Linked DNA regions of Lepisosteus oculatus. The protein of the gene in region 2 interacts with the protein of the main gene of each other region in a biochemical or structural test. Links are inferred from orthologs where the notes say so. Each region holds a gene or a part of one and is shown on either strand. Other genes may lie near its edges. The genes, in order: eif2a, eif2ak2, dnajc3a and tarbp2.

Evidence for each region.
Region 1: of the proteins of eif2ak2 (region 2) and eif2a, one has a biochemical effect on the other in vitro, tested with the Homo sapiens proteins (4 studies listed by BioGRID, with this or other methods). The link is inferred for Lepisosteus oculatus from reciprocal best matches to the Homo sapiens genes EIF2AK2 and EIF2A.
Region 3: the proteins of eif2ak2 (region 2) and dnajc3a form a complex in vitro, tested with the Homo sapiens proteins (2 studies listed by BioGRID). The link is inferred for Lepisosteus oculatus from reciprocal best matches to the Homo sapiens genes EIF2AK2 and DNAJC3.
Region 4: the proteins of eif2ak2 (region 2) and tarbp2 form a complex in vitro, tested with the Homo sapiens proteins (2 studies listed by BioGRID, with this or other methods). The link is inferred for Lepisosteus oculatus from reciprocal best matches to the Homo sapiens genes EIF2AK2 and TARBP2.

What each region holds. Positions count from the first base shown.
Region 1 is NC_090708.1:2,572,621-2,579,768, forward strand, and holds the start of eif2a (eukaryotic translation initiation factor 2A), read left to right. Parts: upstream 1-3,857; 5' UTR 3,858-3,882; coding exon of another isoform or gene 3,883-3,925; coding exon 3,926-3,953; intron 3,954-4,503; coding exon 4,504-4,573; intron 4,574-4,908; coding exon 4,909-4,980; intron 4,981-5,295; coding exon 5,296-5,414; intron 5,415-5,722; coding exon 5,723-5,822; intron 5,823-6,194; coding exon 6,195-6,277; intron 6,278-7,011; coding exon 7,012-7,085; intron 7,086-7,148. Other genes in the region: stress-associated endoplasmic reticulum protein 1, read right to left, coding at 628-703, 1,188-1,271. UniProt on the Homo sapiens protein: Functions in the early steps of protein synthesis of a small number of specific mRNAs. Acts by directing the binding of methionyl-tRNAi to 40S ribosomal subunits.
Region 2 is NC_090712.1:6,726,576-6,733,922, reverse strand, and holds the start of eif2ak2 (interferon-induced, double-stranded RNA-activated protein kinase), read left to right. Parts: upstream 1-4,066; 5' UTR 4,067-4,210; intron 4,211-5,052; 5' UTR 5,053-5,064; coding exon 5,065-5,171; intron 5,172-6,122; coding exon 6,123-6,258; intron 6,259-7,091; coding exon 7,092-7,240; intron 7,241-7,347. Other genes in the region: gpatch11 (G patch domain-containing protein 11), read left to right, coding at 70-111, 543-663, 938-1,028, 1,290-1,397, 1,792-1,873, 2,758-2,813.
Region 3 is NC_090710.1:7,087,832-7,095,579, forward strand, and holds the start of dnajc3a (dnaJ homolog subfamily C), read right to left. Parts: upstream 3,142-7,748; 5' UTR 3,033-3,141; coding exon 2,951-3,032; intron 892-2,950; coding exon 781-891; intron 372-780; coding exon 247-371; intron 1-246. UniProt on the Homo sapiens protein: Involved in the unfolded protein response (UPR) during endoplasmic reticulum (ER) stress.
Region 4 is NC_090696.1:17,892,068-17,900,152, forward strand, and holds the start of tarbp2 (RISC-loading complex subunit tarbp2), read left to right. Parts: upstream 1-4,909; 5' UTR 4,910-5,079; coding exon 5,080-5,132; intron 5,133-5,529; exon of another isoform or gene 5,530-5,628; intron 5,629-6,379; coding exon 6,380-6,549; intron 6,550-7,288; coding exon 7,289-7,391; intron 7,392-7,874; coding exon 7,875-7,944; intron 7,945-8,085. Other genes in the region: pleckstrin homology domain-containing family A member 3-like, read right to left, coding at 163-299, 1,059-1,214, 2,809-2,925, 4,257-4,305. UniProt on the Homo sapiens protein: Required for formation of the RNA induced silencing complex (RISC). Component of the RISC loading complex (RLC), also known as the micro-RNA (miRNA) loading complex (miRLC), which is composed of DICER1, AGO2 and TARBP2.

The DNA.
Region 1 (7,148 bases), on a different chromosome or scaffold from region 2:
ATCTGACATCTGCATACAAGAGCAGTGCAGATAAAAAGTTTAAATTTTAATCCCGAGTCAAGGGCGCTGGGGGGGGAGGAGGTTAGAGATACAGTGTCAACAAGCCCGGCCGCCTATCGCCGAGATAAGCCGGCGAGTCGATCCCGAGAGCAGCACCCTGCGCCCGCCGGCCCTGCACGGCAGGAAACACGCGTGTCCCCAGGTGTTTCCACGGCGCTAGCAGACACGAAAGTGCAGTCGTACTGAAACCCGAAGTCTCCCTCCGAGGGGCGCACCGCGCAGCCGACGGTTTCGATACTATCCGACACGCCAACGGGAGACTTGAGAAGTCCGTGCAAGGAACCTGGCGTTCGGACTTCTCACCTTTCCGACGCCAAACCCCTCTTAGTTTTTTTTTTCTTTCTGGTTTTGTTTTGTTGTACACAGGAGATCCTCCTTCGCCCGGTTCTGCGTGCCAACGCCACGAACAAGCAGCGCTCGGGTGACCGAGAACATGCGAAAAAGGAAAGGAAAGCAAACTAAACTGAACTTCGACCCTCCCGGGTGGGGGGGAAGCTGCCAGAAACCCCCCCAAAAAAACCCAACAACAAACAATCAAACAAACAAAAAAAAAAGACTCCAGCCCACCTGACCCACAGACGACAAAAATGAACAGCGCCAACAACCAGGGTCCGACGGAGACTTTGTCGTCCTGAGCGTTTCTCTGAAAAGCAAACAGACAACAAAAAAAAGCCGAGATGAAAATGTGGAAAGTGACAAGATACACCCCCAGGGTAGGAGCTGCTGGGGCGGGGGGGTAGAGGGGCTCAGGGGCAAGTCGCCCCTCTGACAGCCGGACACGTCGCGCATCTACTCGGCACCGACCGAGACGCGCAATCGCCCCTCTCCTCGCCAGCTCCAGCCCGACCACCCGGCCGCTCTCCTCGCACTGGGGCGGGGGGCTGTGATTTTTTGCTGCTGCTGATGATGATGATGATGATGGCGTTTTAAGGACCGGAGCAGGAATCGCCGCGTCGCCCCACACTTGCACAGAGCTGGGGGGGAGTAAAGAAACGCGACTCCCCAGACGGACCCCGCGGGGGGAAGAGGAAGGAGGAGGAGGAGGAGAGGGGGAACTCGGGCACTTTTTAACGCCGCCGCCGACTCCCCCACCTTCTCCTCTCCGTCAGAGACACGCCAGGACTCACCGTGCTTTTGGCTACGTTGCCTCTTTGCGTGATGTTTTTGCTGTGCTTTTCGTTTGCCATGCGAATCCTCTGCTTCGCCACCATCTTGTTAACCTGCTGCTGCTTTTCTCCTCCGTGCGTCTGTGTTCGGTCCCCGGGCCGGGCTGTGCTTTGCTGCTGCTGCTGCTGCTGTGGCGGCGGTGGTGGTGGTGGTCGTAGTAGTAGTAGTGATGATGTGTGCAATGCCGATATCAGGAGAGGACTGCCAGCTCGCCAGCTGCGATGTGTCGCCCCGCACCAGGCTGTAATAAACAGGGGCCCCTGCCTGCGTCGACACACGCTCGGCCCCTCCCGCCGCCTGCCCACGCCGCCGCGGCCAGCGCAATCCTTCCGCCGGGCAGCCTGGCCTGCGATGTAGTCCGCCATAAAAATCATGATTCATAATAATAACTTTATTTTATATAGCGCCATTTAAAGGTGGCTTCTCAAAGCACTTGAGAGAGTGACGGCAATAGAAAATACACAAGATGTGCACAATGAGGAGACAGCAGAGGGGGGGACTGAATACAGGAGGAGCAGAGGGGTAAAGAACAGAACCAGTTCAGTAAGGGCTCTTCTGAAGAAGAAGGGTTTGAGTCTGGATCTGAAGGAGTTGAGAGAAGGTGACTCTCTGATCTCCTTGGGGAGAGAGCTCCAGAGATTGGGGGCGTAACAGGAGAAGGCCCTGTCACCCCCAGAGTGTAGACGGGCTTGGGGGACAGACAGGAGACCAGAATTAGAGGAGCGAAGGTTGAGAGGATGGGAGGAGGACGATAGTTGCCTTCCTCCTTTCCCCCTCTGTGCTTCGCAGAAGATCTCTGCTGTGTTGTATTCTTCTTGTGGAGGCCAACAGAGACAGTTCGACAGCTGTGTGACGGGGTCAAGAGGAGAACTTGTCAAGCTGAAAACAGGAAGTAAACCTTTTCAAGTCTTGATCGGAGAAGACTATTTATTTAGAGAATGTGAAATGCGAGTGAATTCATCGAGTTCCTTAGCAGGGCAAGAGAGACCTTCTTAATGGCTCATGATGGACAAATCCAGTTTACACAGTTTATTGATAACCTGAAACGGATATACAAAGGCAAAAAGAAACTGATGATGTTGGCGCGGGAGAGGTTCGGTTGACGGAATTCTGTCTCTTTCTTTTTACTTGAGCCTGCCTTTGTATCCTTTTTAACTTAAAATGAAAAAAAAAATCAGTCACAGAGCCACACCGATATTATATGTGTATTGAAAGAGAAAATTGTCATGTTGTGGAAGTTTGTGTGTTTTCTTTTATTTGTATGAGAGAGAGGTTAAAGAGAAGAAAGTTTTGGTTTACCCCGCGAATGCGAGGAGACTATGTTCCAGACCCGGCCCGGTTACTCAGAGTCCTCGAAGGCTCTTGTCGACCCAGCAGGGTTCTTCAGACTGAGCTATCGAACATGAGCCGTGAGACACAGGTGGAAACGAGGGGTTCACTTTGAAACCCCACACTTTGGGGCGCTTGTTTCATGAAGGTTTGTGTGGCGTCTGGAACAAGCTGCCCAGGCCAGGGCAAGATGCTCAGATCAGTTATCTTCCCACCACTAAATAATATAGGATCACTTTATTGGCCCTATACAATTTCTTGCATTAGGAATGTGTCTTTTCGCAGACCCCAGCTTGCTCTCCATGAGACACACAGACAGGGAGAGAAGCTGGGGGTCAGAGCGCAGGGTCAGCCATTTATACAGTGCCCCGTGAGCAGTTGGGGTGAAGGGCCTTGCTCAGGGGCCCAGAGGAGTAGGATTCCTCTGCTGGCTGCGGGATTTGAACCAGCAACCTTCCAGCCACAGGCGCAGATCCTGAGCCACAGAGCCACCACTCCGCCCTAAAAGCACGCTCCCCAGATGAGACACAAACCCACAATCCCTGGCTTGAGATAGATAGATGAGGTTAGTGCCCCCTCTCCTTTGTAACTGTTCCTATTTTAACAAGAATTATAACAATGGCGCGTGAGAACTATGTGGACAAGAAGTAAAATTGATAAGTATCAATGTTAATTAGTGATAAGTATTTGCTAATTAAAAGTTCCTTTAAATCTCTACCATGACGCTCGGCTTTAACCAACCAGCTTTTGCTGAAACCCCCAAAATTAGTCAACCAAGTTACAGCACTGCCCAGACAAGACTGCCTCACACACTGGGACACCGCAAACTGGGAGAGACCACTGAGCAGAGACAGACCCGATGAAGTACAGGGTCAGTGACCACTGCCTGGGCACAGAAACTGGACACACGCAGACCTGGCTGCCCAGAGAGGACGGGCTCACTGACCACAGCCTGGATGTAGAAACTGGACACTCAAATAATAGAATTATGTTTTTGTTCTGAATGTTTGTAATTATGTTCCAAATTGTTACTGCTCTGGCAACAGAATGATTCATCTCTTATGCCAAAAACAAAAAAAAGCTTTGAAATATCAGAGCCATTTAATTTTCATTGCAACAGCAATCAAAATATGCAGAGTATTACTTTTAAATCAGGTGTTATACTCTTATATCTATGTATCGCAATACAGCAGCACTCTGAAGCCGAAACCAGCAGGAATTCCCGGCCGGACCTTTTTTTTTCCTGACGTGTGCATTGATACACGTACACGCGTTTCGGGTGATGCGGTCGGGTTTTGTCGACGTGTTTTTCCCTGTGTCTGTCTCATGGGCCCACACTCACTTCCTGTCCCTCCCCTTCCGGTGCAAGATGGCGCCCCCCACACCAGTGTTGGCAGGTCGGTAGCGTGATTATGTTGCTTTGTTGGTCGTGTGTGGTTATGAGGCAGTCGGCAAAATGTGGAAGACAAATTTAGTTAACTGGCCGTGTAACACGGGTGGATGTCCGAGATTGCCCAGTGAAACTATCTAGGAGTAGAGAGATGTTTTTTGCTCAACATCCCTGTAGAACCGTTCACTACACCATTCACAGTTTGGTCACGCTATTTCTAGGTGCAAACATAAAACTAAAGAAATAATAAATGTAAATAAACTGAAATAATAAACTTAAACTGTGTACTACCCTGGGTGTGTTTTGGGTATTATATGTGTAACCGTGATCTTGATCAGAAGCAGTATGTGCCCTTCAAGGCGATAAAGCTATATTCGGGTGACTTTATATTCGGTTATGCTCTGAAATAAAAGATCGCCCGACGTTTTACACAATTTGCTTGGCGAACACGAAGCAGCGATCCTGCCCTTCCGGGGTTTCAGGTGCAGACACTGTGTTTGGCGTTTACAGTTTTTTTATTAAGAGGACATTGTTTCTGTCACTATCGCTGTCAACAGTTCGCGCATCGAATGGAACATCCATGATCTATGGCCCTCCAGACTGTGTCGAAAATACTGTCTTTAAAAGGTATGTTATTGCAGGGTTATAGGTTTGACTGCAGACAGTGCGTATTTCTCCAGTTAACGTTTTTACTCAAAACATGTCAGTTTGCCTTAAAAACTTTCATTTCGCTTGATTTGTCTGGCGCCCAGGTTAAAACAAGTATAAAGGGGGAAATTGAAATGATAAAGTTGTTCTTAGGTTGATACGGGTGCACGATCTAAGTTCAAACATGCTCTGGAATGACTTAAATGTCCCTGCTTGTTGTCAGTGCTGTTTCAGTGGTGAGATGATGAGAACGCCAACAATTGTGTTTAAATGGCGTTCTCCTAAATCCTGTTTGATCTGGTTTTTTTTTCCAGGGATGGACGAGCAAGTAAATTTGTGACGTTTAGCAGAGATGGTTCCTTGTTCGCCTGGTGCAATGGAGACAAGTGAGTGATGCCTTTGGCCCCGAGAGGGGAGAACAGACCAGCCCTGGCTCTAGCAAATAGTCAGGTTTGAGCCTGTTTGCTGATGAAGTCTTGAGTCTGTCGATGAAGTAGTGCAATAGAATAAATAAGCTAACTAAACATGAATCCTGTCGCTGTGTTTCAGTAAAATTGTACTGGTCTCTGTTTTGTGTGCATTTCGATTGTGCCGAGCTGTGTTGTTGCTCATGAAGGGATACTGGTCCGGTGTTTAATAAAACTGAATGCCGGTACTGGAGCATGAGCCCGGACAGAAGCGTGTGGCTTTCTCCTTCACAGGGTCAGTGTACTTAATGTGGCAGATGGCAGAGTCCTGCAGTCTCTCGACCTCCCAAAGACGGCCTGTCTGGAGTTCTCTCCCAAGAGCTCCATTCTGGCAACATGGCAGCCTTATAGCAGTATGTATCCCCGGACACAGCTCCCTCCTTTCTTGCATTTGCCTGACAGACGCAGTTGTCTCTGTGGCACAGAGAGCAATCACCCTCCTTTGTCTCTGATACGGCCACATTCATGCACAAACCTTTTAGGATACTCTGTCTAAACTGAGTGTTTATGCTACCGTCACATTTAAACACACATTTATTCCTTTTTAAAAGGTCTCACATTCAGTATTTGGGGGCAGAATGCTCCTCTATGAAGAAAATAGGATGTTTCTGGCTCTGTGCTGGAAATCAGAAAATCAGAGTGTTGTTCTGGTCTGTCCCAGAAACGCAGGAGAGTGCTCAAGGAGACCCTAACCTTCACCTGTGGGATCTGCAGACTGGGAAGTGTCTTAAATCTTTCTACCAGAAGAAAATGCAGGGCTGGTAAGTGTGGCAGGGGTTTTCAGAGCAGAGTTACACTTACGGACGAGAGGAGTTCATTCAGCCCCCTCTCGTTCGTCTGGTAGTTGGTAGCTAATTGATCCAGGGATCTCGATCATCAGGGAATTGTCTTCAACAACATGGCTGGGCTGCCTTTTCTAGACCCTTTACGTAAACAAAAGGTGCGTGGTTTTAAATGCACTAACAATTATTAAATGCATAAACGGTCACAGTGACACACAGCAGGTGAAATGTTGCTGACGAGTCCGATGACCCCAAAGTGAAGAGCTGCTGTGATGCTAGAGAATCCTAGAGGTGTCGAACGAGGGTTCGTTCCACACTGGTGGCGCTTAACTCCCTTTCTTGTTTCTTTAGGTGCCCAACCTGGTCCGATGATGAAAGTATCGCCGTCAGGAATGTAAACAACGAGCTCCATTTTTTCGAAAATAACAAATTTGGTGAGCAGCGCTTACGTTAAGAGCATGAGCTACTGCAGCAGTTAAAGAAACCGCGGTGGCGGCCCCAGTTCTGTGACAGCGCTGACCCCGACCTACACTGGGTGCTAATTGAAAGTGGCTGGATAATAAAAATCTGTTTACAAGGGGACTGAAGCCGCTTCTAAATTTCATCCCTTGGTTTCCTTGTGGGAAACGTATTAAAACCTGAGAGCTGATTTCCTCAGAGCAGTGCTTTCAGAGAAGATGTGCTTTTTTCTTTGGTCCTTATAAATCGGCATGCGAAATAATATTTTCTGTCGCCAATTTTCAGCTGTAAATTATCATCTGAGTCAACATCTATATAACTAAATTTGGTGTGTCAATGTGTCATATTTAAAGACTTTTGTGAAGCTCAGAGGCAATTATCACGCTTCCTCAAGTATAAACATGTGTAAAAAGCACTGTGTAGCAGAAAAAATCGACGCAGAGATTCAGGTATAGGCATATTTCACTTTCTCGGTTTGAACAGATTGTTTCTAGGTGTCTGAACTGCCTGTGTTCAGGGTGCTTGCTTGTACCTCTTACTGCTTGCATGTGCAAAGTTGCTTTTCATGGTCACCATGTTGGATAACAGGCTAATCTCTTTAATTCCCCAGTCCTAAGACATAGTCTGTACAGAACAGTATCGATCGTTGCACTTTAACGATCAGCTCGTCCCTGCTGACAAGCCTGTCAAGTGTGCCGTCTTTTCACAGACACCATCGCCAACAAGCTGCACCTGCAGAAGGTCACGGAGTTCGTCCTGTCTCCCGGAGCTCAGCCCAGCAAGGTGAGTTGAGACGCTCCAGGCCGTGCTCTGTTATCCTCTCTCTCCTTGTGCGCTCGTCCGTCG
Region 2 (7,347 bases):
GAATATATGTGGTATATATATATATGTGGTGATAGACATCTGGTTAATGTATTGTTTGTGTTTTTAAAGGGGCTGGCAGAGTTGAACCTATCCCATTGAATATCAAAACAGGTAATAATAATACTTTGTGTTTTGTGATGTGAAAACTTTCAACTTTATTTGTGGTCATTCTTGTATGTCAGAAAAAATAAAAATTAAATAGAAGTTAAAAACAGGTATGGCTGACCATTTACAAATGTAATGGTTAATATATAATATTGGTGCTGTTTATGGTGTGAATTAAGATGAAAAAATATGGTGAAAATGAGAGAGTTTGTTTTTTAAAAAAAAGTCTCAAGCTATGTTTTGAACAGGGCATGTTAAAATCATCAAGTCATCTTCCAGTTATTCGTGGGTATTCAGTAAATGTCTGGACACATTCTGTATAATCTGTATGATTTGACCAGCTGAGGTGACCTTATTTGTCCTTATTCAAATCCTACATATTTCACTCTCGGAAGCTGCAAAGCTTTCAGGACAGCCCTGTGCTTGTTATTGATTAGATCGAGGAGGAATTGGGATGGAGGAAGTGAAAAAACGAAAAGCTGAGGAGAAGCTGGAGCACTACCGGCGAAAAGCAAACTTTAAGCAGCAAGTCGAGAAGAGAACATTGGATGACTTCAGGTAATAGAACAAAGAACAACACATATTCTGATAGTTTGTATTGCAGATTGTAATCCCTATTTGCTTTCTTGTATCTTTATCAGTTATTTTATTGTGGGTAAACTATTTATTATTTGAAGAACCATGTTGCAATCAGGCCTGATTCACCAAATGAAATAGGTTTTTAGTGCCCAGTGGTCAGTGATCTGAGGTACACAATCTGCCCCTAGTTTAGTACAGTGTAATTGGATGTTTTTAAATCCTGAGGCTTCCTCACTGCTCCGGGTCCTTTCAGAGTCAGACTGAGAACGGAAAGGGAGGAACGACAAACTGATGCAGATCTCAGGAAAAGCCAGCGTGCCTGTGAACAGCTGGACAGCCAGAAGGTTAGTGACAAAACAGTATCTCCCATCGGCTGGTTTACCATGGCTGGGCTTACAGTCTCATTACACATTTCAACTTTTTTATTTTACATAAACACTTTACATGTCTAGGGATTTAACCAGGGCATAAAGCCTAGCATTAATTCTCTTTTGGGTGGCTGTTGGTGTTGGATCAAGGCCTGGCTCAGGAGCAGTTATGTTTTCTAGTTGTTTTTCTGAGGAAACGTCACATGGATCGATGTGCTCTTTCTCCCATGTCCTCAGGGGATCCATGCCCCCAGGGAGGACTGGTACTGGCCAGTGTCGGGGACTGAGGAGCCGGGGGAGGAGGAAGAAACTGAGCAGGAAGAAGATGAGGGAGAGGAATTAACAGTCAGTAATACCCTTTCACTTTCAACCTTGCTGCATAGGCCTTAAAATTTGTCAAGAAAACCAAGGGAAACAAAATACTGTTTTCTCTCTGCCTGTGCGTGTAGATAACCATTTGATTTGCCACGAAGCATTTCATCTCCTTACTTGAATATCAAACCTTTTAAGATTGTTGCCAGCTGCAATTAGACAGCTATAAGATCTGCAGAGTCTCATGAAATCAGACAGAAATCTCAGTTGTTTGTACCAAAGGGATGTTTACCCTGGGGATCCCCATTACCTGTAAAGTGCTTTTAGTGGAGTGTCCAGAAAAGTGCTATGTAAGTGTAAGGATTATTATTATTCTTTGCTTTCAACTATTTGATTAAGAAAGAGTATTACTTTTTCTTTTTCTCAGCCTTTGGAAAAATTACAGATTCTGACATCATATCTGAGGGGAGTGCACTTTTACTGCATATGGTGTGGGACATCGTACGATGGTAAGACTAAGAAATGCATTGATTACTGCAGGATGTACTACAATAAAGTTCTAAGGCCTATCTTAAATATTTAGCTGATTGTACCTGTGCTTCAGTACTGTACTGCTATAGCTATACATCTCTGCTATAATCCATGGCCTCGGAACAATTATTTTTTTTAAATAACTGTTACTTAGATGAGTATTTTTTCTAACTTCATAGGCTACAAACTACGAAACATTGTAATATTCCTTTCTCCTTTAGTAGGTTATAGACTGAACATACCTGAATTCTCTAGGTCAGTGTTTCCCAAGTGGCATACCATTAGGAAAACTTTGCATTATTCAGGGCTTTGACTGTCACTATGACTCATATTCATGTTTGTCTAAGCTGCTCTGTAAAAAAAAGTAAAGAACTAGGCTGCAGTAATGATTGTTGTAACTAAATATGATCATTTAATTTACACCTACTAATCTACACCTCAGCAATAGTATATTTTATTTTTACTCTCTAAAAACTATGCAGACCTTTTGAGGCTCTGAAGAGATCTTAAAAACTGCTTTGTGGTGGACTTCTCTATTTTGTCCCATTTTAAAAAATTCTGCTGGAACTATTATTTCGCAGATATTAAGTTTCCAAGGTAACGACTGTTCCAGTGACGGTAATGAATGCCCCCGTCACTCCTTGAACACGGAAGAAACGTCAATGTTGTTTTTGGAAAAAAATGTTTCAAAAGTAAAATTTTATATATAGTATGTTCATTTGAGAATGTTTGCTTTGACATGCAAGCAAAATTGTTCAAACTTTTCATGGTAGGAGGTGGATAGGTTTTTGCCCAACATTTTTGTTGACGCAAGTATGCATGCTGTAGGCTGGGAATTGACTCAAGTTATGTTGCCCTGCAGATGAAGAAGACTTGACAGCAAACTGCCCTGGGGACTCGTCTGCAGCCCATGACTGATCAGGCCAGAAGAGGGGCTGAACAGGAAACTGAAACTTTTCAGATGATGCCCTTCTTTCACAAGAAGAAGGAGGAGGAGGCCCTTCTGGGAACAATAATATAGACGGAACAGGCCTAGATGTGGGATAAAGCTGATCCTACGTACACCTTGGATGTGTGATTAAGTAGACGTGATCTGATGTCCACAATCACAAAACAGCAGACAAAAGTTTAAGGTTTACATATAAAGGAGATAAAGGTTTACAATTCACCGTGATAGATCCAATTAGAGCTGAAATACTAACAGATATGTTGACATTGTAAAATATGCATTAGTTGTGTTGTTGTGGTCATGAAATGGAATACGAATAATAACATGCAATTTTATTTACAATTTTTTGCAAATTGTGCAATTCTATGTATAAACATCATAAACATTTATGATTTAAACATATAAACAAATAGAACATCATTGCTTGCATCTAAAATATGAACTATTAATAATGTGTTTAAAATGCAATGGTGTATTTGTTTTTAAGTGTATTCATAAAAGTGGTTAGTACACATTGCATCTGTGTTGTTTAGTTGTATATTTTATGTACTGTCCTTTTTGTAAAATGAAAATAAAATATTTTCATGTGTTGCAGTAGCTTACCTTCAATAAAGCATTTGGTCGAGTCTTGCAATAGGATGTAATACAGTCACATTTGCACTACTTAAAGTTGAAACATTGTTGGTAATGCTTTGGTCATTTGTATCACATCCATGAAGTTCAATGCAATGTCCAATGTTAAGGTAATTCATTGTTTAATCAATAGTATATTCCTTTTTTTGTGTTTTAGGTGTTAAAATATATGGGTAACCTAAACTAAGAGTGACAGTAGTTATAAAGAAAAGACCAGAAATCTAAAAAAGCATATCTGAATATAAAAAATCTTTTTATGTTGTTTTGCAGTGTGCTGGGATAGAAACATTTTCAAAGGTTAAAAGACACGTTCTTGTTTGCAATTTGAACGACATACTTGTTCAGTTACCCGGAATGTAATGCATTTCCTAAAATGTTAAATTACAAAGAACACGTATTGGTAACTGAAGTTAGCACGCACAAATCATTCGATTTTTTCCATCCTCATAAATTGAAACCACGTAATATCATCATTTTAGAAAGAAAAATCCTTCTTAAAATGTAACTTAACCCCAGGCCAGCTCCCGTCCTGCAGTGTAGTATCATATTTTAGCAGGCTGGCGGAGCTGATTGGCTGCGCAGTACCGGTAGTTGTTCTAGCTGTGACGTTTGGAGTGGGAAATGAAACTAAACTTTGCTGCTGAGCTGCAAGGGGAGAGAGGGTGAAGTGAAATTTAAAGTCAGTCGTGCACTAACCTGCAGGTACGGCAAGCACAACATAGGTTTATGATCTGTAAGTATACTGATATTTATTTGCGAGATTAGAGTCAACGTCGGGTTTTAATCTTCAGCTTCGTTTTGTTAGGAGTTGGTTCAAGAACGGGGGATTGCAGCAGCGTACACGAACGTTATTTTTATCGGCAACTGTAGTACTGATACTGGTTTGATTTAACACTTAGTGCGCGTTCTCCAGCTATGTTCCTGCAATCACATTGTAACAATCAGAATTATTTCTTAATTATTTGTATGTTTTTTTCTTTTCCATAAACAATTGCTACGGGCACACTGTTAATTGCTTTGTGTTCTTCATTTTTATTATAGTCAAGACTCTTCTATGACATAGGCAGCATTGTTTACAAGTAGGACTTCTCGTGTGAAGGAATCTCGTTTTATGTATTTTTTGTATAAATGAGTTATCTGTATCGGTTAATGTTATTGATGTTAATGATGGTGAAGGTGACTAAACGTCATTTGTTCTGTTTGCAGTGAATCAAGCTTAATATGGCTTTCAAGTTACTGTTATGATATTGGAGTAAGAGGTCTGCATTAAACGTCCAAATAGTCGTCTGTTTTCCAAAGCAAGAGAACAGTATCATAAGAGAATATTTATATGACCACTCGAATTATGCTACTTTTTGTGAGGAAAGAAAAGATATGTGTTTAGCATATGCTACATTTTGGCATCAGTGTTTTGTTGTTATGATGTTGCATTATTAAGAAACTTTAATTATAAGATGATACAGTTTTTTTAAAAACATGTTTCTCTCAAAACCAAGATGAGCTGTCATTAATAAAAACAGTCAAGAGTACAGAATTACAGTAGGACATTAGGTAAAGTATTTAATTGTCTTTCAGGTATTTTTTACAATGTCTCAAATGAATTATGTGGGAAGACTGAATGAATATCGACAAAAACATAATTTATCCCTGCAATATGTGGAGGTTTCCGCAGAAGGGCCAGACCATGTTAGACAGTAAGTTTTATCCTAAAGTTTGATCAAGTCTTATACTGTAGGTTCAAGATTTTAAGCAGCTAGACAATTTAGAGTGGATTGTGCTTATTTCACTGAAAAGCTGAAAGGGGCAAAATGACAACACCTCCTAACTCATTCATTCCACGTTCAAAATCATCATGTAGCACTTTATGGATCTGAAAATGTATATTGAGTAACAGTACAGTGATAAATGTTATACTGCAATCACAATAGCATTGTACAAAGTTATATTTATCATAAATTGAATTCCATTTTTTTCATTTCTAAGTATTCCTTTAAAATCCAAATTTGACAATGATATTCTGCAAGACAGTGTTTTGGAACTATAGTTTAGAACCTTAATGGAATTATATTCTGGAACTATATAGATGCTTCAGAAGATTTCCTGTTTCCATGGGGAATTAAAGGAGGTAACACATTTAGTAGGAACATACAACATGGTTAAGACTACTTGTAAAGTGGCCACTCTTGCAGGAAGACGATGTAAGCACACTACAGGAGGCATCTTGTGAATGTAATTCCTGCCACCTGGAGGATTTACAATATGTTACACTCTGTCACCTTAGATAGGGGCACCTGCTAAGCTCACAACAGCAATGTGTTGCATTCAAGTCAACCATGACTGGCCGGCCTTCACCAGCTGTCTGCAGCTGCACAGGAAGAGTGGTGGACAGTCCCACAGGACTCTGTCCAAAGGCCAATCAGACCTATGCATCAGTTGTGCTGGGATTGTGTTCATTTTTCAGAGGAGGCTGAGTTACTAGAGTAACTTTATTTTGTAACATTCTCACTTTGAATTTCAGAAAATGTTTTGGATTTCTGTTCTGTGATTCTGCCTGACAGTTATATTCCATACTTAAAATATTTGATTAAAACCCGTTAAGAGTTATTTTTTTGCACTCAGTACGTTTGCATTATTGTGTTATACAGATTCACAATGAAAGTGGTGCTGGACAGTCAGGCTTATCCTGATGGCGTTGGAATGTCTAAGAGGGAGGCGAAGCAAAATGCCGCAAAAAATGCTTTGGAAAAGCTATGGGTCGAAGTTTCTCAGCAGAATGACCCTGTGAGTATCAGCGTGGGCGGTTTTCTCTTACTCTGTGCTTTCCTTGACCATGCTTACAGTATGTATACTCAAATAAAATATACCATCTGTCCATTTTAAATAATAGCTTAGACCAATTCAAGGTTGTGGTGATCCACTGCCTAATCTGGCAGACAATAGACACAAGGCAGCATGCACTTTGAATGGTACACCCGTTCATTGTAGAGTGTACATACAGTTTAGAGATGGCAATTAACCTAGATATCCACCTAGTAACAGAGCAGGTCTTTGGATTTTGGGAGCAAATTGGAGCACCCACATGGTCTTGGAGAGATCATGTGAACTACACCTGGGAGGCACCCCCAGCAGGACCCAAGAACTGTGAGGAAGTAACATTAAACTGCAAGACCCCCTTAAGTAAGACCAAACAATACGTAAACTTTGTCTGAATAGAGGTAGTATGTTCTCCCTGTGTTTATGTGGGTTTCCTCCAGGTGTTCCAGTTTCCTTCCACAGTCCAAAAACAAACTGGTGGCTTTATTGACTTCTGAGAAAATTGGCCCTGATGTGAGTATGTGTGTCTGTCTGTCCTGCGATGGACTGATGTCCTGTCCAAGGTTGTCTGTCACCTTGTGCCTGTTGCTTGCCAGGAATAGTATCCAGCTCCCCCACCACTCTGAACTGGAAGTAGCAGTTAGAAAATGGATGGATGGATAATTGATTCCCAAGAGATGCGGAAAACGTTTACTGAGAACCAGCATTAGGGTCTGAATTTAATTAGGAAAAAAAACCTATTGTGAAATTTTAGAACCTGTGAATGAATATAAAATCTGCTTCAATGCCATTTACTGCAGGTCAACAGCAGCAGGGAATCCAGTTGTCCTTCACCTGTGTCTACTCAGGGAATTAACCATTTGTGCTGGCTGAATGAATATGGTCAGAAGAAAGGGGTACTTGTACAGCCCTTTGAGAGGAGCGATGGAGGCCCACCACACATGCCACAGTAAGAATTTAGCCACCTCAAAAAAAAAAACCAAGCGGAGAAGAGATGAGTTCCCATCCAGAGGGTTGCTTTATCGGACGGGTAACGGGGTGTTTCACTTTTGCATC
Region 3 (7,748 bases), on a different chromosome or scaffold from region 2:
CCATGCTGAAAAAAAGAAGAAAGAGAACAACGTTTCTGCCGTGGAGCCTTCTTCAGGTGTGAGAGAGACAGGGCAGTAGGCAAAGGTAAAGGTAAAGTAGCGGGAGAACAAAGGTTGGGAGGGAGGAGGAGTGAGAGGCGGGAGCAGGGGACAGAAAGAGAGGCCAATCAAGAGGTGTGAAGTCAGAATGGGTGCAGAGAGGTGTGAAATTATATTTTGTTAAGGCATATCTGTAGACTGACTTACTGAGGTGAAATCTGGTTTGAGTTCAATGACTTTACTGAGATCCGGCAAAGCTGACTTGGATTTCCCCATGGCCAGATAAACTGTGGCTCTTCTGTAATAGGCCAGGTAATTTTTGGGGTCACCATCTGTTGAACAACAGCAATTACAAAAATGATAATAGCCTGCATACACATTTAAGTCTTGGTATATTACTTTGCTGGAAATAATTTGTTTATTCTATGAAAATACACAACGCAGAAAGAATCAAAAGATACATTACTTCCTAGGTATGTCTCTAGTTTGTAATGCTGTAGGCATATCTGGACTAATGTCCCCCCCCCTGCAGTATGTTGGCATAAGCTAACAGAAAAGTGGTGTGGCTTTTAAAAGAAAAAAAACTTTTACACACATTACAGAACAGATGCTTTATTTTTCTGGACTGTAGCCCAGCACTGATTCAAAATAAAGCGTTTTTTGATGAGCTTCTTCATCGCAAAAAGAAAACACAGTGGATGATGTTTCCCAAATCAGGTTTTTCTCATTTGAGATACTGACCTACAGCAGCATGAAAGTGAGACAAAGCATCTGCCAACTGTCCGGCAGCCAACAATTTCTTTCCCATTTCCAGATGGCTCTCGAGTCCTGCATTCTTCCCACACTGCACTCCTGCAAAGGGGAAAAGCCATGAGCTTTCAGGTAATCTGAATCTTGAAAGTAGAGGTGTTCTCCTTTCTAACTGATTCCACCACCTATGCTTTTAAAAAACAATATAAACTCATCATTAGCACCATTATTGTTCCACACTTCTCTTTCACAGTCTTTATCCTAACAGAGAAATAGTTTACTGCATTTAGATAGCAGTCACCATCCAAACAAATCTCCAACCTTTCTACATACAGTAGAACAGGGGACACTTCATTCAGCACTGGAGTGTAGCACAAACCTTAGTGATGGCCACTACATGCTGCCCCACTCATTACACAGCAGATCAGAGAGCAAGAATCTGCAACACCAGTTCAATTAAGGGCTTAATATTAGCAATAGTAAGGTCTGATTGAGCAACATCCCATAGAATCTCTAATGGCAAGTAATCAGAATTTCAGTTAAATAACACTTGCTAATTCTTTCTGCCCTGCTTCCTTCTCGTTTTTTCAGAAATTAAAGAAATTTAGCTTGGCTTGCATTGCTGCCTCACAGTGATGGTCCTGGGTTCAATTCTACGATGTTATCTGTGTCGAGTCTGTATGGTCACCCTATGTTCATGTGGGTTTCCTCCCACAGTTCTAGTTAACTGGCTCGTGGAAAACCGGCCCTGGCATGAGCGTGCTCATGTCTGTGTCTGTGCCCGACGATGGACTGACATCCCATCCAGGGTTGCTTGCTGGGATAGGTTTGGGCTGCCCCACAACTCTATTGGATAGAGCAGTTAGAAAATTCATAGACATGTTTAAATTTTGGGGGGAAAAAAAAATGAAGGATAGCACAATGTCCTCAGTTACTATCCTTGAGCATGGTTTCTAGATTCTTGTACAGAGGGACCAGTGTCCCCAACTAGTCCACGATTAGCGTTTGCACAAGCAAATATCAGTTCAGGCGAGAAGGCAGGTACTGTTACAGACAATTTAACAGACCTGGAAAAAAGTATAAACACTTATTAAAGGGGGTTTTTACATCAGTGAGTTGCAACTGGAACTTTAAGAGACATTCAGCTTCTGATATTAAATGGGTGTGCAGTCAGCTATATATCCCCATTTATTCCCCATAAAAAAAAATCAAAAGATTTCTCACAAATTATAAAGGTATAGAAAAGACCAAAGGGGATTTAATTTCACGTTCAGCTAAATATCTTACTAAAGCTAAAATCAGTACCAAGGTCACATTTAACTAGCAGCCACTTTTTAATTTATGAGCATAACTCATATCTCTTAACATTTCCGCAGCAGCAAAATCATTTCCAAAAATGCTAAAGAATTTTTCAAGATACGATTTCCAATATAATAATTTAGCTAGTACTCGGATGATGCGATATCTCCTTAAAAACAAATCAAGAAGTTATAAAAAAAAACAATGCAGGAAGTACAATAACTAATAAGTGAGAAAAAAAACTTCAATTTCGCACGTGAAGTCCACACCATTTACAAATCTTAAATTTCACTACTACCATAATCGTTATTATACCATAAAACAAGTACGGCACACAGCTATTTGTTATACTCGCAGAAGAAAGCCTGTACTATATGTGAAATCATCGGAGCAGTTTGTTTTTATCAATCAACATTAAAATCCACGCTGACAGCTTCTGCTCAGCAGAGCACTGCTGCACGTCTTTTCGTCTTTTATTAGATTTGACTCAATACAAGCTCCTTTGGGCGGCACACAATGATAAATCCATACACTCTAGCAATGAACTCAACTAAAAATAGGTTCTGGCGACTTGGGAAGAATAAACCATTTTTCCGACTGCTCCCCATAAACTAAGACTCTACAAGAGGCATCACGCATCTGGTACTGTGCACTCTGGGCAATACCAACCAGCTGCAAAACCAGCGGGCTTGTCAAACTTTCTTGACGCCACGTCTGTTCGTGGAATTGAAGAAAGTCTTGTCAAGTCCAGGTAATTACTGAAGAATAAAATAATTTAATAACGGCATTGAGCGAAGATGAAACGCATAATCTTTCCCGTAGGAAAAGGCAGTGAGAAACGGCAAAAAAAAAACAAACTTACCTTCATATCGTAGGTCAATCAAAACAAGAATATATGAAAAATAACATAGGACTTTGCGTGCAAAAGGGCCTACTGAAACCATGTTTAATATTAAAACGTTACAAAATTTAATTAAGCGTGAAGTTTAGGCTACCAGAACCTTGCGGAATTGCAATACTGTTTTTTTTTCTATTTCCAGCCTTTAAAGTTCAGCACAAGTTAACTCGCCTGGTCGTGGGTTGCTCCGATTGGATGGAGGAGTTTAAAATCCCACCCCTTGCCTCTAATTCAACAACGTGGAGCCACGGCAGCGTTTCGGGGGGAGGCAATAGCGTGTCAACTGGACCTGATTTGGAAATGTTTCACATGCAGTATCCGAATTGAGTTACTTAACTCGTAAGAATACCTCGTCCTCTCTACTTGCAGTTTTCTAGGTAGATTATTCTGTTTTAATGGTGGCATTACAGAGGCTGTGGTTGTTTTTGTCTATAATCTGTTTCACATTCGACTCGAGCCATAACAGTGCAGGTATCCATATGTTTTTGATAATTTTAAAACTCCAACGACTTTGGGTCACACAGTATTTACACTACAAATTATATCTGAGAGGTAGTTCGGTTCTCACTGCAGGTTTCAGTGGGCATCTGCGGTACCGCGCTTTGGGTGCAAAGAAAGAAAAGGTAAATTCTACGTTCAAAAGCAGAAAAAATAACCTTTCGGCAGCGAGTCTTTTTCACAGGTGTGAAGAAGTCAGCTATCGGTATAAAAAAATTAATGAGTCGAATACATAGGTTGCAGTTGTTTCACATATACTGTATATCAAATACCATGCAAAAGTTTAAATTTAGCGATTAGTGATGGCACGCAATAATTATCACCCTGTGCAAACTACATACTGTAGACACTTCAAAGAAGGCCTGTATCAAAGTAGCTATATCTGTGACGTTAATTATTGCTATTCTTTAGCTGAAACCTTTACTCAAGGTGACTTATATCAGAATCATTTTTTATACGCAACTCAAAAGTTACAGGACTGGACAGTGGCATAATAAGTATACAATTAAAAATGATATAATAACTTTAAAATATGTTGCTAAATAAACAGTTCAAGATATACTATTAACATCAAACTGATGGACAGCAGGAACAAAATATTGAGAAAAATGTGTTGCACAATATTTTATGGAACAATATTGTATCACTTTACTGAAATACAGCTTGTTGAGAACTAGTAAATATAATGTATAATCCATGTATGTTGCATGTCTAATAACTGAAAAAAAAGGTATTAAGTCATGTTTTAGTGACATTAACAAGTATTTTTTATATTTTAGTAACAGGTATTTAATAGGCTTTATACAAGGGATGTCCATCATGTTTAAAATGCCTTTGTGACCTTAATTAGTAGTGCTATTGGACTATAGGGTGTTCTAATCGGGCCTAGACGTATTACTAATTTAAATTTGATGTAGATACACAAAATACTTTGTCCATATTACCATTAGTTTATTCCAGCATATTTTTTTTCTGCTCCTACAGAATGAACAGAACTCTGCCCTCTTTTGGTTGTTACTACAATAATGTCCAGGCATAATCGTTGAAACATCAAATTTATTTTGGTTCCCAATTGCTCATGTTTGTAGACTGAGCAGACAACCTCATTTTAGACGGGAATAGCGGAACAGATGAAGCATTTAATTTGCATCATTCAAGAATTCGCCTGACCTCAGTATTTGAAGACTATTTTGGAGCCATCTTAAGAACCCCTGCACTGATTTAATTGAAACTTGGTGAATCAATATCCAAATAAAGTGTTTTTATCAGTTTTTCACCTGAAAAGGTGTTCTGATCACTTTTACTCTCATGTCATAAACCGTTTCAAGAAACTCAACCTGTCGTGCAACTGTCACAGTATGGGTGACACATTAACACATTAAATGCTTTGCTATGTCCTTGAATATGCCACTTATAGAGGGTGATGGACCATTTTTCTCCTAGCTCAGGAGAACCTAGCTCCAGAGCCACCAGTGCATCCACAGACCAGACAAGACACTTATCATACATAATACTCCATTATATACTGTAAATAAAACCTCATAATACACCGATTCCTATGACCACTCACCCAATGCACAGAACAAACAATACAACTTCCTCATAGAGCAGTTCCCGAGCAGGACCCCAGTCACCAGAATCAAATGTCCCAAATGAACAGTCTGGCTGTTCACCCCCGAACTGTCTGGTAATTATCAAGTGTCTGTGTAAGGACCTTGGTTTTTCACTCTATGACAGTCCCCCTACTAAAATGTTGGTCTTCCTGATGCACTCTATTCCTGGTGCTATCTTTAATCCCCTAGCAAACCTCTGCAGGTACTCACGTTATCCACCTGCCAGTGTTTCCCTGATTCCAAGATCCTTTTCCCCTAATCTTGCCTCAGTTTCTGGAAGTCCACTGGATCCCATTTGGAATATACTGTAATAAATCTTGTCTGAGCTCACGGCCTGCTGAGCTCCAAAACCCGCCTACCTAGCAGTAGGTCTTCAGAGCTCAAGCACATCTGAGCTTGTGCCCTGCAGAGTTCCAGAGGACTGCCTGCCTAGAAGTCTCACAGGGGCTTCTCCCTGCCAATATGCCTCTGCACTATAGGGGATTTACAATCCCTGATTGCCCTGCTCCTCCGTTGCAGCACCTAGGGCTGCTCTGGACAGTATGCCTAGGCAGTAACATAGGACCCAGAAACCTTTTCCCCATCTCGCCTCTCTTAAATTTGCAGGGCTTTCACATGCCTTCACAGTTTCATGGTCCCCACAATCCCAGATTGCCTACACGTCCACTGCAGTGCTAAGGGTTACCCCAAGCAGTATGTCCCTGCAGTGTTGGGGATTCACAATCAATGTTACAGTTAATGGACATGGTTGGAAGGCTTGAAAACTCTGGCTATGTTTTTGTCTTCTGGCTTGTCGATTTCTATTTTGCTGATACAGTGGAATAAATATTGGTATATTAAAAGCTACAGTAAAGGTTTTTATAATTGTCCACTGTTTTTCACGTCCTGCAGCCATCGAGGTTCACGAACACTAAAATGAATATTGAAAAGGAAAAAAAGAAAAAATATGCTCAATTCTAGCTTTTATTTTCCGTGATGGTGTCTCAGGGAGGGTGATTAAAAGGAAGAAATTGCCAATGCTTTCGACGGCCATTTGGGGGAGCCAAAGCTTCACAATTGTAAACGAATACCCTCCAGTTTATTTGAAAGCCACAAGAATGATTATAGTTAAGTGCTAAAAAGAAACGGTCTAAAGTCTGAAATTTATTTAGTAGCCCATTTCACCAATTATCAGGATGTCCATAATCAGAAAAAAAATAAAGTAAATGATAATCTTATACTGTGTATTGTAATTATGTGTTATGTAATAAAGATGTATTTTACGCTCACAAAACCTCAGACTTTTACCTGACTAGAACAAAGTTTATATGTCAAGCAACTTTTCGAATTTTAGAAGTGTTTAAAATGGAGTGCCTTAAAAAGATCTGTATATCTGAAATGGATGTGTGAGGATTAAATCCCGTGAAATTGTGGGTTCCAGTTTGGAGCTTTATTTCTTCTCAATTGGTAAATATAGTTAATATAAAAACAATACAATTAAATGCAATGAGGGTGTATATATAGTCCATATCCCCCTCCACTCTCAGTCTGTTTAACCAAAACACTAAAGATCTGAGTCCTATAAGTGTTTCAAAAAGTGTGCTTACTCTTGTCACAGATAAGAGATGTGTATCTCCGTCATCAGTCCTCCTATTTTTCCAGCCATCCAGTCTCTAACCTCTTCAGCTAACTCAGGGTCACAGGGGAGGCAGAGCATTTCCTAGCAAGCAATAAGAAAAAGCAGTGTGTATACCCTGGAGGGGATGCCAGTCCATCACAGGGCACATCATGAGGGAACAGACACAAACACACACACTCTCATACCAATTTTCCTAAAAGTAGTCTACCAGCATTTGTTGTGGAAAAAAACTCTCACACACACAGGGAGTACATACAACCAACACAGATCACACACAGGGTCTGGAATTGAACCAAGAGCCCCAGTGCTGAAAGGCAGCAATGCTAATCACTATACCACTATGACTCCCACACCTCTGTTTTTTGTTCCACTTAATCACCACAAGAGCAATTCTGCCCAAACTATCACACTTGGTCTGGCTCAAATGGTCTGCTGTACACACCAATTATTGTATTGCTCTACATGTCTGGATTACTCATAAAATGACATTTTATGAGAGGTCCACACAAAACATAAATTAAAAATGCATTAGTTGCATTCCTGGTGAGTCTATTTTATTCTATTGCATTGATCAACACTGGGCTCACTTGTTGCTTTGCTTGTCTGTTCTTTAAATGATGACTGTTTAGCTCCCTAACTTTAGACACATGGGGTTGTTGTGACCAGTTCCTTCTGTTGTAGTGGCTGCGTGAAAGAAATCGTAAAGAATAAACATGATGAAATGTCAATCCTGGTGCAGAATTGTGACTCTGAGATCAGGGTCAGTCATTAGCAGGCTGAAATTGGCTGCACAATCTTGCCAGATTAGACATTGCTATAAGCTGTAAACACCCCAGATGGTGCCTGACAGTGCCTTGACTTAGTCCAGCCTGCAACATACCGATGGCACAAAGCCATTCTTCTCTTGATAAGCAGGACATATTGGATCCTTTCTGTGCTTGTACTACTTGATTACTACAACTGGCTCGGCAGTCTATGGGATAAATCAGTTCAAGTAAGTAGCCGTGTCAGTATGCGTAGGCTCCAAAAGAAC
Region 4 (8,085 bases), on a different chromosome or scaffold from region 2:
CATGAGTCTTTCCTCTGGCACGGATCAGTAGTAGGTGCTACTAGAGCTCTTATCATCAGGTCATTGCTGATCAGCAGCTGGGCTTTTTAAAGACAGCGCCACTCCTGGGTTATAAAGCAATGCAAGGCAAATTGGGAAGGGCGAGTGGCGCTGGCAAGATACCTGTGTGTCTGGCAGCGTGCCTCCCTCCCCAGGCTGGACAGAGTGCTCGATCTTGTGGACCTGCTCCATCAGCAGATCACAGTACAGCCGCAGCTCGGACATCTTCCCCTTCAAGCTCTGGCTGGCCTCGTTCAGCTCTGCGCAGGGAAGACACTGACTCAGGCTTCACACGCGGCTCAGAGGAGCCCACTGCCTCCTGCTGTGAAGTTGGCGGCCCTCCACACCGCCTCCCTGTATCCCACTGGCACAACCAATACTGCCTCCCCACAGATATCTTTTCTCCTCCCAGAGACGAAGCCGTCCCCCCACGCGGCTTCCCACAAGCTCATCAGCTCCGATCGGAGGCCTCACTCCTGGCCTGGCACCTCTGATAATGAGCCATTGCGGATTAGGCACCGGACACCAGTGCACACTAGTGTACAGTATGTAAGGAAGCACATTTAAAACCAAGAGCAGGAGGTTTTCCTTTGCACAGCAGGCCAAAAGCTGGCCAGCCACACTGACAAGGACATACCCTGGCTCTTTATTCAAGAGACAGCTGGATGAGATCCCTGGGGAAATGTTCCGAATGGGAAAGGTATGCAGCTGAGCTAGATGGGGCAAATGGCCTCTCTGACTATTCTTCTGACCCATCTCAGCTCTGTGTGCCCCATCACAAAGCATCCCATCGCCTAACTCAGTCCACAATACAGGATTTTGGTATTTCCAGCCCATTGACTGGTTAATTTACCCAAGTGCAGAAGGTCGCTGTAATAATTACGGAGGAGCTGAGACACAGACTTGCGCTGGAGCTGAAAGGAAGAGTGCAGGTGGCCGAGCTCTGCCCGACTCCCTCGGCTGTGGCGCTCGAATACCCCGGGCTGCGCCACCGGGCTGCGGTTCCCCCGTGACCTTGCCTTTCTCCTTCTTTGTCCGGCTGTCCGCCAGGCAGGCCTTGGCGGTGCCAAGGGCGACCAGCCACCTCTGCCTCTCGCCCGCTGTCAGGGCCCGCAGATAGAAGCACTGCTCCCCGGGGATCACCAGGTCCACCCGCGTGCCGTCCGTCGGGTGCACTGGAGAGAAACACGGGACCCTGGCCTTAAATCGCAGCCACGTCCTGAAGCTATTGGCAGAAACGCTGGCAGAGACCTGCGCCTGACTCCTACATGATCAGCTCTGCTCCTAGAGGGTCGCCGGGGGCAGTTCAGCAGCACTTGCAGGTCTCCTCACCTCAGCAGCGACAGAAGGGTTAAATTCACTTAATAAAGACTCAATTGGTCCATAAGTAAGCCTCCTGCACTAGTGTGAAGCCACTGGCAATGTAAGCCCTCTACAAGATCCCCTTCTTTGCTAACAATCAAGTACACTGAAAACCAGGGAGGGGGCTGGAGGGGGTCGATAAGAAAAAGCCATGCAATATATTGAGCTATCCCTCCAGTTCTATGATCCAATCGCCTTGCTCTTCCTAACTTTCAGAGCATTTTCTGCAAGCATTTTGTTGTAGCCTGAATGTAGCCAGCAGCTCTATCACCCCACAACTGGCAGCCCACTGGAGCTCAGCAGGTTCGAGCCTCTTCAGTACCTGGATGGGAGACCTCCTGGGAAAGCTAAGGTTGCTGCAATAATAATAATAATAATAATAATAATAATAATAATAATAATAATAATAGCTTACACTTATAAAGCACTTTTCTGGACACTCCAGTCAAAGCGCTTTACAGGTAATGGGGACTCCCCTACACCACAACCAATGTGCAGCCCCACCTGGATGATGGGACGGCAGCCATAGTGCGCCAGAACGCTCACCACACATCAGCTGATCAGATGTGTTAGTAAAACCAGTAGAGGGCGAACACCCTACAGTCTATATGGGTCCTAATGCCCCAGTGCAGTGATGGGGAGACTATACTGTAAACTTCATATGAGACATAGATCCAAGGTATGTACACTCTGTGGTCATTAAAAATCCCAGAGCACATCTTGAAAAGAGTAGGGGTTTTACCCCAGTGCCCTGGCCAAAATTTCTCCTTGGCCTTCACCAATCATGGCCTCCCAATAATCCCCATCTCTGAACTGCCTTCATCGCTCTGTTCTCCTCCCCACTGATAGCTGATGTGCAGTGAGAGTACTGACACATCATCCAGGTGGATGCTGAACATTAGTGGTGTCGGAGGGGAGTCCCTATTGCCTAAAAAGCACCTCGAGTGGAGTGTCCAAAAAGCATTCCATAAGCGCAAGGAATTATTATTAAATGAATCAGTAACGCTATGGATATTTCAAGACATTTTCTCTGCTTGTGAACAGCACCATCACCACCAAAGGGCTGCAGGTCTGCACATTACTGTACTGCCGATCAATTCTTATCTGCTGTAGCAGACCCACGTGCTAAAATGCTACCTTTATGGTTTACCTGCAGCCACAGAGGCAAGCAATAAAAAAGCAGCAGTAGGCCACCAGCAGCCAATGCCCTGCCAGTCATATTAAACCCTTTCTTATGAGTCCAGCAAACCACGAAGGAAAGGGAGCTTTGAGAAAGGAATCGTGGGCCCAGCCAGGGGTCACAAGGTCGAGCAGATCCGATCCCCCCCATCTCGAAACAATGCTCTTCCCGCAAGGGAAAGTGGCCCACGGTGTGTCCATCAAGAAGGGTGCGGCAGCGCCACCTACCTTTAATCTCACACACCGCCATCTTGATGCTCCCCTTGCTGCCCTTCCCCACGTCCTCCAGGGAGTCGTAGTAGGACAGGATTGTCCCGTCCAGGACGAAGTAGCGGGGCTGCCACCCTTCACCCCGCAGAGGCAAGAGAGGGAGAAAAGGATTGGGATTGAGAAACGGGGCCAGACTCTGGACCACAGCAGATATTGAACTCGGGATAAAGATCAAAGACATCAGAATTAACATGACATGAGAGAGGTGGGTGGGACACTGATGGAGGCCACTTGTTCTACAGTTACTAGTCCGATGGGTTTTAATAACCGAACCTCCAGCTGAATTATTTTGAACGACTATTAGAAGCAACACGAGAGGAGCTGGGACACACTCCGGCTCTGAAAGCTACCCAGGTCCCGTAGCGTTGTGCCGACGAGACGACCCGCTAGCCGTTCACTACAACCTGGGGAAGCAACTTATTGAGCAGCAGCAACTGTCATGAAGGTCATGATCACTTACAGTTAAGTGGAGGTTGTTTTTTTCCCCGTTCTGCAACACAAACGCGAACCCTTTCCAGTTTAACCAAGTCTAAGTTAAAGCACTGACCAATAACAGTCAACCTTCAAATTTTCCAAGTGTGAAGCAGTAGCTCACCGGCGTACGGATACTGTATCTACTGTACTGAGAAGCTGATATCAAAGAGCTCTTTAAAAACAACAAATCAAGCACTTTTACGCACTAAAAAGGGAGGAAAAAAAACTTAAAAGCGTCATTTTTTAAAAGAAAGCATAAGTAAAACAAATTCAACGCTCGTGTTAGTTTTTTTTTTACATTTAAAACGCTTCGGTTTAACGCAGGAGAGATTAAACTTTTCTTCCCCCTTCACAAACCCGTGACGCATCCAGAAGGAAGCTAGATGAAAAAATTAGGAGATTCCTCTGAAATACAGTGAAGGTGCGACTCAGTGGCTTGGAAATATGACTCGATCGAAGCCTCCATGAAGTGGATGGCCGTTATACGTTATGTTCACGGAAAACAAAAAAACAAAAAGAAGTTCGCCGTTAACTATAACTTTGTTACAGCTGAAGTTAGAATGCGCAGACATTTGAAATAAGCGAAACAAAACCTAAACCAGAAAACGATGTAAAAATATCTAAGAGTTTTAGTACGGCTCACAAGTGCGCACGCACATGAATGTTAAATTCAGTCTGCTACCGAACAGCTATGCTACGTTTACAAAGATGCTTTTGGCCGAATGAACCGACAAAACTTGTTAAGACTGACAGCATCGCCTCAAGACTCGCCTTCACCTGACAGTCTTTCACTAATAAGACAGCACGCTAAGATTTAATACTTTTTCGAGCGGTTTCGAGCTACTTATTAATTAATAATGAATCACCCGATAAGTAGTTTGTCCACTTGTGCAAAACCCCCTCCATAGCCCGGCGACAACGATAAAACCCACCGACCAGTCGGCGACGGAGGAGCGAACCGGTGCGAGCGATACACTGCATTGGCCTGGCTTTGCCCAATCAGAACGGAGTAAACTGGAACAGAAAGCTGCCGATTGGCCGAAACTCATTCACACCACCCCCTCCCGCTACGACGGAGCGACTAGGGTGACTAATAACGTACTAATAAGACCCACCAGCCAATCGCAGCTCAGAGGCGACACGAGTAGGGTTTGCTGGGAATTGTAGTCCTTAGTTATAGCCAGTTCTTGAGATGAGCAGTAACAAACTTTAGTTGGGTGGTTCTTCAAGGGAGAAGACGCTATTGGCACGTACTGATAGTATTAAGTGCTCGCTCGATTCCACCCTCAACCGACACGCTGAGATAATTGCCAATGTACCCAAATACGTTGAACATATGATTTCAGGTTTGGAAACGTGATGCGTGGAGCATGAATTAATACATGCGTCCAAATCTAGAGAGGCTTGCATGCCGCACGGGAATTTTACCTTAGTCCTAAATTACGGATTCGCGCACGTGCTCTGAAATTGACCGTGCACATATGTACAGCATAGCTCCAGATTCCCTTCCGGTTTGCATCTCACTGGCACACGCTATCGCATGTAAACGTTTTGCATTTTTTTTACCCTTGTTGAAAAAAAACTACATTTCCCAGAATGCAGCTGCTCAGGCCCGGATATGGGAGCCGGCTGCTGCGCTCAAGAGCGGTTGTATGTTGCTGCTGAAGAGGCTGTGAATGAAAAACACCGGTTAATTTGTTCAAAGGGGGGTGTCCGGAATCCGAAATTATCACGTTTTCGTTCCGTAAACGGGGAATGAGCGACGAGAAAACCCCGGCTAATTGCAAGAGAAACTCTGGGTGCCCAAGGTAAGCCCCGAGCACTACCGGGGGGCAAGTTGCAGAGAATCGTGCCTTTCGCGTGCGAAAGAATGAACGGTGTGTGGGATTTCCCTGTTAAAATATATTCGTTTAGTATCCACTTATTTCCCCCTTAGCAGAAAACAGGATTCTACAACAAAGGCTTGTTTCGTTTTTAATACGAAATTATGCACTAAATTGTAACGCAAACATGGCTGAGTAACTTGCTTTTATCCGTTACCTTGACGCGGTCGTTTGCTACGCGTTTTGTTACAGTCCCAATAAACATTTGGGTTATGAAATTCTTCGTTCTTTCCTCCGGCTGATATGTCTTTAAAAGGGGTACCGTTACCGGTTTGCTCGCACACATCTTAATAAAACGACCGCGTTTCTCCCTTGAACGCACTTCTTCACAATGTTGAGAATTCGGATGCATTTCTGCTCGAGACCGATAGTCAGCTGCTATTCCGACACCTCGAAATCCTGACCCATCACTCTGTTTCTGCTTTCTTCCCCTGTCGAGTCCTTCTTTTATCTCTCCAGCTACCTCTCCAATATCTATCCGCGGGGGGCAATTTAGGGATGTTGGCCCAGGTGTTCCCAATTCTGGTACTAAGGGATTCACATCCCCGCTGGTTTGTGCGCCATCTGAGCGCATAATTACACGATTGTTCCCTTAATAGGTTTGAATTCAAACTCTTCAATCGTTTTCAGTTCCTAAACATGGAGGACAGGGGTGTCCGGTGCAGGAACCGGAGGGCAGCTTTTGACAATGTAAATAAACACATGGATCAACTCGATCAGTTTAACAGCTTCTCAAGTACCGCTGCATTAAAGAAACCTGGAACAGACACTTGCAGACACTGATGTAGGAGGCTGTCTTTTAACTTGGTTGTAGTTCTTAAGTAACTAGGATCTCCAGTCTTTGAGAAGAAACTTTCAAAGGTTCTGACCAAGCAATTTGTTGATTCAATGAAAGATCTCGGCTGCCATAAAAACATATGTCTGTGGGATCCCAGGAATAGGATTGGGAAGCCCCGTACTAGCATATATCCTAGAAAAAGTAGGCATTATTGGTATTAATTACTTAATTTTAATTAATTACTTCACTGAACATCAGTTGCTTAATTAACCCAGTTGCCGAGGATACAATAGCTGTTTCCTCACTCAATTTGTCAGAGTGTCTACTAGGAGGAATGCCTGTATTGATCTAGTCTTTTCAAACAAGACTTTTTTGTTTCATTCCCCCTCATCAGTATTGAGCAAATGCTGGCTTTGAACCCCGGAAAGACCCCTATCAGTTTGCTGCAGGAGTATGGAACGAGGATAGGGAAGACCCCGGTGTACGATCTGCTCAAGGCTGAGGGACAAGCACACCAGCCCAACTTCACCTTCCGCGTGACCGTGGGTGACATCAGCTGCACAGGTGGGTCGCCGGGCAGGCCGCGAGTCTGCGCCCGGATTTCCCTGGTGCGTTTCGACGGGCGATGTCATCAGTACTGCAGCCCTGTCCTCTGAGAAAACAGGGACTCCGTGATCCACGATCTGTGATCCTAATTTTAAGACAAACTTCAACTTTGAAACTGTAGATTGAGATATAAAAGAGAGCCAGCAGGAACTGGGGGTGAGATTTTGCCTGTGTCTGCCTTTGGGATTTGCCTTTAGCCAGAGGCATTCCAGAAGAACAGCTTATTTAATTTTATCGATATGGATTAAACTTTGCTTTTTTTTCCAGGAGGATTGACTCAATTACTGACTCAATTAAGGAGACCTTCCTGCACAGGCCTGACTTAGCAGGCAATTTTAAAAGATCTTACAAACTAATCAATATAATAACAGTGCTGGTTCCAGCCAAGCTCTTGACTTAGTTGACCTAACACATTGCTTGCAAACTTTTGCACGTTTCTGTATACTAAAAGTTGGCAATCATAACTTATTAATTGAATGCAGCGGTTTAAAGGTCCCCTCTGAAATGTAGTCCTATTAATAGGTAAATTAAGAGTTCAATTACCTGACTTGAGAGATCAGCTGGAACTTGAATCAGCAGCGGTGGGTGTGTCCAGGGCCAGGGCTTGTAGATCCTGATTTAAGGAGAGCTGTGAGAGCTGCTCTTGAAACTCGCCTTGGGAAGTCCTGCTGAAAGCTGTCCTGGGTCTGTGTTGCAGGTCAGGGGCCTAGCAAGAAGGCAGCCAAGCACAAGGCAGCAGAGGCAGCACTCAAACTCCTGAAGGGCGGCACCATGATGGAGATATCAGCTGATGGAATCAGGTGGGTGTGTCCGGTGCCTCTGTTACTCATAATAAAAGTGTCATCTTAGTCTGCAATGTCCACTGTTATCATTTCTTCAGGCAGTGATTTTGCATGCTTTTTATTTCCATAGACTTGGTTTCAGGTAGTGTTTACAAATAGTATACCCTCCTCCAATTAGTCAAGATTCACCTTTTTTATGGTCCCTCTGTCGGCTTCCACCTGTTTACATGAGTTGTACTTGGACCTGGTGCCATTCTTCATAAACATGGAATGGGAGTGAATCCCGAATCTTAAATCTGCCTGAACACCTGCATTTGGACCCAGGACTACTCCTACTCTGGTATAGCAGGGAGTTGACAAAGAGGGTGTTTTTCCGTTTTCCCCTGTAGTTAAAGGCTGAGTAGTTATTTTCGGCTCAGACCTGGGTTGGTGGCCCCCAGCGAAGGGTGCGATCGTGAGCAGTTCGTTGACTTGAACTTGGTGTGTTTCTTCCTATCCCAGCTCCCAGTCTGAGGCAAAGGTCTCCAACTCCGTGCAGCAGGCAGAGTGCAATCCCGTGGGTGCTTTGCAGGTATGCTAAACTGGCTTGGACACCAGTAGAAGGGCTTGCTCTGGCTGGCAGCCTTAAAATGGGATACTACAGGGGAATTTAGAAAGGGAGAATGGGAGGCCTATGGCTACCTGCCTCACCCATGGCAAAGGAAGTCAAAAT